Coturnix japonica: one gene and its partner. The protein of the gene in region 2 purifies or fractionates together with the protein of the main gene of each other region. This does not show direct contact. Links are inferred from orthologs where the notes say so. Each region holds a gene or a part of one and is shown on either strand. Other genes may lie near its edges.

The links. The genes of interacting proteins can lie anywhere in the genome.
Region 1: the proteins of CIAO1 (region 2) and CIAO3 purify together in Homo sapiens (affinity purification with western blotting; 3 studies listed by BioGRID and IntAct, with this or other methods). This does not show direct contact. The link is inferred for Coturnix japonica from reciprocal best matches to the Homo sapiens genes CIAO1 and CIAO3.

What each region holds. Positions count from the first base shown.
Region 1 is NC_029529.1:5,995,824-5,999,759, reverse strand, and holds the start of CIAO3 (cytosolic iron-sulfur assembly component 3), read right to left. Parts: upstream 2,801-3,936; 5' UTR 2,742-2,800; coding exon 2,676-2,741; intron 2,354-2,675; exon of another isoform or gene 2,252-2,353; coding exon of another isoform or gene 2,219-2,251; intron 2,070-2,218; coding exon 1,974-2,069; intron 1,677-1,973; coding exon 1,533-1,676; intron 1,433-1,532; coding exon 1,300-1,432; intron 993-1,299; coding exon 858-992; intron 462-857; coding exon 343-461; intron 1-342.
Region 2 is NC_029537.1:1,034,695-1,038,675, reverse strand, and holds the start of CIAO1 (probable cytosolic iron-sulfur protein assembly protein CIAO1), read right to left. Parts: upstream 2,801-3,981; 5' UTR 2,776-2,800; coding exon 2,626-2,775; intron 2,079-2,625; coding exon 1,929-2,078; intron 1,663-1,928; coding exon 1,551-1,662; intron 967-1,550; coding exon 878-966; intron 696-877; coding exon 494-695; intron 1-493. Other genes in the region: TMEM127 (transmembrane protein 127), read left to right, coding at 2,914-3,169. UniProt on the Homo sapiens protein: Key component of the cytosolic iron-sulfur protein assembly (CIA) complex, a multiprotein complex that mediates the incorporation of iron-sulfur cluster into extramitochondrial Fe/S proteins.

The DNA.
Region 1 (3,936 bases), on a different chromosome or scaffold from region 2:
GGCATGATCTGCACGTATGCACTGACTGAGGTTTTGTCCTGGGTTAGTTTATTTTACCTTATTCACCAGCCTTGATCAGCAGGAAAATACCATACAGGACGAGTGAGATATAAGCACAAGAATAATGACAAATCAGATTCCTTAGACTTCCTGAATAATATATAGAGATTTCAAGCCACAAAGTGTGAACTTAGTGCTGCTGTCCCAGCTGCAAGTTTCTTAACAGGTATCACAGAAGTGACAATGCCTTTGCTGGCAATTTGCAAGATAAAAACAATTATCTTCAATCCTTAATGTACACAGTACAGGAAAACGTATCAGCTTGTGTTTGATGCACCTTACCTGCTGCTCTGCAAAATAGCCCTTTATCAAGGAGCCCATGATCTGCTGTGGAGACTTAGTGGTGCTGATGTAAGGAATGATGAAACTGCCATGGGTTTTCTCTGCATAGCAGATCCAACCTGAAGAGAGAATAATTAGCAAATAGTTGCAATCAGTAACTATAACTATATAACTATATATAACTATATAACTATATATATATATATAGTTATATATATATATATATATACATATAAATAGCAAGCACCCCTTCACTCTGCCCACAACCTCAGGCTCACCACCCATTCATAACCATTTTCAGCCTCAGCACAAAAGGCAAAGAGGTGTAACAATTCCATTTATAGAGGCGAGTAGGTATTTCTACAGACCATTACCACTATTAACACCAAGCTCTCTTTGTGAAGAGTAATACTTTAAGCAAATTAATATGAACTTTTCTGACTAGCTTTTTGAGTTCTTGTATAGGTGTATTATTAGAATGGCATCTTATTTCTGTAACCAACTTTGTAATGTACCTGGACAGGCAGAAGCTAGCATTGGCAAAGCCTTTTTGTCTTCTGATTGCCTTCGGAAGCGTTTTACAAACTCCTTTTGGCTCTCCAGCAGGCTGAAGTTTCTTGAGAAAGTTGTATCAAATACATAGTGCACACCTAAGTGGTACAACATGCACATTAGAATTCACAAGGAAGATACAAGCAGCAAGCTACACATCATATTTACTGCTATCAATCTGTATTTGAGAGTGAACTGTTTTCTCTAGCACAGCAGGACAAGAGCAGAAGTCATAGGAGGAATGCGGATAATTTAAAGCTCCTTTCCTCCATTACTCCAGGTTTATTTTGTGACTGAAGTTTGTACTTCTTAATTCATATCACCTTTAGGTGCTCATAAAAGCTGTGCCTGATGGATAGCCCAGCAGTCCCCTCTGTCATGGGTAGGACGCAATGCAGCACTTGCCTTGACTCTTTAAGAATGCAGTCAACTTCTTTGCTGTTTCCAGAATGCTCATTTTACATTTTGCAGCCAGTGAAGCCCTGGATTGTGGTGAAACAGAAACCACCACCAGCTTCTGTTCATTGGGAGCTGCAGCCTTTAAAAATAATAACAGCAACAAAAGAAAGCTGATCAGACAGTACTAATACTCACATCTACTAACTCTGCAGCTGACCCGCCCCTGTCTCATCACTTACCTTGTTAAAAGCTAGAGTTTTGGAGAACTCCTCATGGCTCTGCTGAGTGATTAAAACACTCTCTGCTGATGTAATGCAGCCACTACAAGCTAAACAGTCATTCAGAGTAATTTTAGCCTTCTCCAGTTTCTGTGCTTCTCCATCCTGGGAAGAAACAGATAAGACTCAGTTTTGGTCACAACACAGAATTGAGTAGGGTGGCAGTTTCTCATCTTTACTATGTTTAGTAATAAGGATATTGTCCTCTTTACCCTCCTGGCTTATCAAGAGCAGACAAGGAAGAATAAAGGTGAGGAAAAAAGGATTTTGTAATATATTTTGCTGTTGTCATCAGCATTCCCAGATCCTGGTCCTTAAATAGCGGCACCTTATTTAAATACATAACTAACCATCAGCATTGTCTGGATATCTTACACAACAATAAAGAAAGGTCAGGCATACCTGAGTGATCTGAACATAGCTCCCATCAGCTTCAATTCTGATCTTAGCTGCTGCTTTCCCAGGCTTTTTTTCCACCTTTACAGGTTTGATACATTCCTAAAAGAGAAATAAGGCTCAGAAGTGAAGAGACAAGACTCGAACGGTCAAACCCAATAGAGCGAATGTCTATTACTCTGCTTTAAATGATGCCAGATCTACTGACTGTGTCTACATCCACCAAGGGAAAATGGTCCTTAGAACCTTACCCCTTTCTTACAGAACGAGCACCTTTTCAGCATCACACCAAAGCCAGAGGAGACTGTGTCCCTTCCGAATCACAGAGCTGCGTTAAAAGGAGCCTTGACAAGCACAGAGCCTTGATCCCCTCTTAGATCTCACAGACGATCTCGCATTCCCTCATTGCAAATTGGAACGGATGGAGGCGTGGTCACTACAGCCAGCGGGCGGCTATTGCCAATGGGGTTCCATGTCATGTCGGAAAGGCTCTGACAGGCTCAGCACAGCTGTTGCCTGATTTTTGTGCTGCTCTACCATGGAGCCCCAAGGGCTTTTTTAGCATTTTATGTCATTTTTACTGCCCTATCTGCACAGCTAGACTCGCACAGTGCTGTCTCCTCACCTCCCCCCCCCTACTCCCTGTTTCCCTTCCAGTATGGCTCTCCTAGGCCGGGCCCTGCGGTTCTTGCCCCCCTGGACACCCACCTGCGAGGGTCCGATGTAATCATCCAGGTCGGTCAGCTGCAGCACCCCGCTGAAGGGAGACGCCATGACAGCGCCGCCGCCGTCAAGCGCGGCAGCCAGCGGGAGGGGCAGGAGTTGCGACACTGTCGTAAAAGCCACACTGCTGTCGTGATATGGCGCCCTGTCGTGATATTCAGGATAGAGGCAAAATGACGTTCCGTTGGGTTTATTGATAGCCTTGCTTGATAGATCCTTATCATAAGACACACACATGACACAAAGGGATTAAAGCTTCCCTAGCCTGCTTTACTAAGCGCTGCCTGCAAGGGGCATGACATTACCATGCATTAAACACATCCCTTGCTGGTAATAGCAAGGTGCTGGTGTGGGGAGAAAGTGCTTTAAAAGCTGGGGGTCTTTAATGGGGTTTAGGGTCAGTCACATAAGAAATGGAGGTAGTTTATGAGCCTGGATCTCTAACTCTCCTGAGGCATTTTCCTCTCCTCTATTTTGTCTGCATGTAACATCACCATCTGTAGGTGGCTGTGTATGCATCCATGCATGTCTATCTATACACAGAGCAGAGAGGGAGGTCAGACTGCTTGGTTACATCGCAAGGTGTCGGCCTTACTGTAAGGGGAAGCTACTGAAATCACATCATGCTTTTTAGAAGGCAGCTGACTCATACAGGAGACCATTTTCCTGAAGCTCTAAAATACAAAGCTGCTTTGTACTCAAAGTAAGGAGTGCCTGACAATTATAGCTATTTTTTGCTGCACTTGAGTGCGTAATAGAGATGTCCAAGCGCTGACGGTACTCATGTCAGGGCAGGATGGAGTAAAAGCATTGCTGGATACCCACAGCACCTCACCCTTTCATTCCTGGTGCTGTAGAAGGTGTGTGCTTTGGGAGAACCTGTTCACACGAAAGACCTGGGAACTGAGAACGTGGCACAGCAGCTGACACAAGCAGCTGGATGCCAAATGCTCTGAACAGTGTGAGTTTCATGGTACAGACGGAACTAATGGCCAAAGATCCAATGTTGTAACAACCTGTTTTTTTCCTAAGCAGTCTTTCAAGGCTGGGCTGGGCTCCCAGGAGCACGTGTGAGTTCTGAGCCTCGCTGCTGAACTCTGCTTTTCCGACGTCAGTTAACTTAAAGCTGGTCATGCTTCTTAAACCTGGCTGCTCATGTGTCAGGAGGACCTCTGTACCCTGATGGGCAGCTAAACAGGATTAGGGTACTGTTAAACAATACTTCTGCTCCAGTGTAGCCAGTCAC
Region 2 (3,981 bases):
TGATCCAATCAGTACAGCACCGAGAGCACGCTGTAACCAACACACAGCACTGAGTGGATCAACACACAGCACTGAGGATCCAAGCACAGCAGCTGAGTGATTCCAACACACAGGCACTGAGTGATCCAACACAGCACTGAGTGATCCAACACACAGCACTGAGTGATCCAACACAGCACTGAGTGAATACAACACACCACAGCACTGAATGGATCAACACAGCACCTGAGTGGAATATCAACACACGGGCCATGCAAATGAGTGATACCACACAGGCACCTGGAATAGGATCACAACACAGCACTGAGATAGATACCAACACAACAGCATGAGTGATCCAACACGAGCATGAGTTGATGGCCAATGTACAGCACTGGTGATTCAACACTGAGTGATCCAACACACAGCACTGAGTGATCCAACACAGCACTGAGTGATCCAACACAGCACTGAGTGATCCAAGTCCCAGCAAGGAGCTGTGTTAGGAGCTCACCCTCCTCATTGCCCGGCTTGTAGCACTGCCAGATGCGCACGGTCTTGTCGTCGCTGCAGGACGCCAGGCGCTGCCCGCTGCCATCGAACGCGATGCTCCACACGGTGGATTCGTGACCCTCCAACGTGGCACAACAAACCCAGTCGTCCTCCTCCTCGTGGTACAGCTTCACCGTGTCGTCGTAGCTGGCTGAAGCCAGGAGCTGGGACAGGAATGGGATCAACACCCCAAACCCACAGGGATTGCAAAGCCCTGCCCCCATAGAGGACCATTCAAACCCCATCTCTTGGGAGCACTGACTCCTTATGGCCCTGTGGCTCAGATCCTTTCCCATCACACACAGTGATGCCCGCAGGTCCCGCTGCCCTTGAGCTGGGCTCTCACCTCCTGGTTGGGATGCCACACCACGTGCTTGACGTCCTGAGTGTGAGAGTTGAGGACGCTGACACACTCGTATTCCTCCTCTTCATCCACTGCGGGGAAAAACACCTTCCATGAGGGAATGGGGCCAGAAGGGACAGTATTGGGGTCAGAAGGGGCAACAATGGGGCCAGAAGGGACACAGTGGGGATGGAAGGGGCAGCAATGGGGCCAGAAGGGGCAGTATAGGGGGCAGAAGGGACAGCAATGGGGCCACAAGGGGCAGTATAGGGGGCAGAAGGGGCAGCAATGGGGCCAGAAGGGACAGTATAGGGGGCAGAAGGGGCAGCAATGGGGCCAGAAGGGACAGTATAGGGGGCAGAAGGGGCAACAATGGGGCCAGAAGGGACACAGTGGGGATGGAAGGGGCAGCAATGGGGCCAGAAGGGGCAGTATAGGGGGCAGAAGGGNGGGGCAGAAGGGGCAACAATGGGGCCAGAAGGGACACAGTGGGGATGGAAGGGGCAGCAATGGGGCCAGAAGGGGCAGTATAGGGGGCAGAAGGGGCAACAATGGGGCCAGAAGGGGCAGTATAGGGGGCAGAAGGGGCAGCAATGGGGCCAGAAGGGGCAGTATTGAGGACAGCAGGGACACAGTGGGGCCGATGCCCTTGGGGTCCCCTCATTCCCCCCCTCACCTTCCCAGACCCACACGCTCTTGTCCCGGCTGCACGTTGCCAGCAGGCTGCCCGACGGCGCCCAGGCCACCGACTTCACCTCGTTTTCGTGTCCTTCCAATGTGGTGACGCACTGTGGGGGGCACAAGGAGCTGCAGGGCGCCACTATGGGGCTGGGTTATGGGGCTGGGTTATGGGGCTGGGTTATGGGGCTGGGTTATGGGGCTGGGTTATGGGGCTGGGTTATGGGGCTGGTTATGGGGGTTGCTGGGTTAGTGGGCTGGGTTGTGGGCTTGGTTGTGGGGGTGGGCTGGTTATGGGGTGGTTGTGGGGCTGGGTATGGGCTGGGTTATGGGCTGGTTATGGGGCTGTGTTATGGGGCTGTGGGGGGGGTCTGACCTCGAAGCCGTCCTGGCAGCGCTTCCAGATGCACGTGGTGGCGTCGAAGCTGGCAGAGGCCAAATAGGAGCCACAGGGCGACCAGGCCACTCTCCTCACTGTGCGTTGGTGGCCATCAGACAGCACAGCACGGCAAGCCTCCAGCTGACCCTAATAGGGGGGGGGTGGATGGGGGACCCCAATAGGAGCCCAGCCCCCACCCCACCCACGTGTATTAGGGCCATTAAGCCCGCCCCCTCCTTTAAGCCCCTCCCACGCTCCTCTGGCCCCGCCCTTTTTACCCCACCCTCTCGGCTCCGCCTCCTATTGGCCACACCCTCCCTTAGCCCCGCCCCTTCCTTAAGCCCCTCCCACCACCATCTGGCCCCGCCCACATTCACTATGTCTCCGCCTCTACTCGTCAGCCATTGGCTGCGCCCTCTCTTAGCCCCGCCCCCTCCTTTAAGCCCCGCCCACGACCCTCTTAGCCCCGCCCCCTTTCACCGTGTTCCCGCCCCTACTCGTCACCCATTGGCCGCTCCCTCTCATAGCCCCGCCCCCATTCATTGTCCCCGCCCCTACTCATCAGCCATTGGCTGGGGCCTCCCTTAGCCCCGCCTCTACTCGTCAGCCATTGGCTGCGCCCTCTCTTAGCCCCGCCCCCACCCTTGAGGCCCCGCCCCTTCCTTCCGCCCCGTTATCCCCCTCGTTCCCGTTATCCCTCGGTACCGTCCCGCCCCCACACTCTCACGGCCCGGTCCCCGCCGCAGGACGCGATGAGGTTCCCGTTTGGGCTCCACGCCAGGAACCAGCACCGCGCCTCGGGATGCGCCGCCACGCGGCTCTGCAGCACCAGCGCCTCCTTCATCGCGTCGCACCGTAATGACGTCACACCGGAAGCGGAAGCGCCGCCATGTTGCCGCCCTAGTGACGTCACCGCCGCGCTCGCCGGAAGCGGAAGCGGAGCCCGCGGCCTGAGGCGGTGCCGGCTGTTCGGGCCGCAGCCATGTACAACCCGGCCGGGCCCGGGCTGCACGGCAGGGGGAGGCGGCGGGGAACGGCGGGAGGCGGCGGGGGGGGGGCGCTGCCCAAACAACCGGAGCGGAGCCTGGCGTCGGCGCTGCCCGGGGCTCTGTCCATCACCGCGCTCTGCACCGCGCTGGCCGAACCCGCCTGGCTCCGGATCCACGGCGGGACCTGCGGGCGGCAGGAGCTGGGGGTGGCCGATGTGATGGGGACCGTCAGGACCGAGCTGCTGAGGGGTGAGAAACGGGAGAGCGGGGAGAGTGGGGCGGTATAGGGTCCTTATGGGGCTTATAGGGTCCTTATGGGGTTATGGGGTCCTTATGGGGTCCTTATGGGGTCCCTATGGGGCTCGCTATGGGCCCGCTATGGGGTCGCTATGGGGCCGCTATGGGGCCGCTATGGGTTCGCTATAGGGCTCGGTGTGGGGTCCTTATTGGATCGGTATGGGATCGGTATGGGGCTTATTATGGGGTCCTTATGGGGTCAGTATTGGGTCGTTATGGGATCGGTATGTGGCTCGGTATGGGGCTCGCTATGGGGTCGTTATGGGGGTCCGTATGGGGTCGGTCTGGGGCTCCTATGGGGCTCAGTATGGGGTCCTTATGGGGCTCAGTATGGGGCCGGTATGGGATCGGTATGGGGCGTATTATGGGCTCGGTATGGGAATTGGTATGGAGCTGATGGGGCTCGGTATGGGGTTGTTATGGGGTCGGTATGGGGTCCTTATGGGGTTCTTATGGGGTCATTATGGGGTCTTATGGGGTCCTTATGGGGTCGCTATGGGGTCCTTATGGGATAGGTATGAGGCCCTTATGGAGCTCGGTATGGGTATCGCTATGGGGCTCGCTATGGGGTCCTTATGGGGCTCGTTACGGGTCTCATTATGAGTCTCCTTATAGGGTCTTTATGGGGTCTTTATGGGTCTATGGGGTTTTTATGGGGTTTTATAGGGTCGGTATGGGGTTTTTATGGGGTCACTATGGGGTCATTATGGGGTCCTTATGGGGCTCGATATGGGCTTGTTATGGAGTCGTTATGGGGCTCGGTC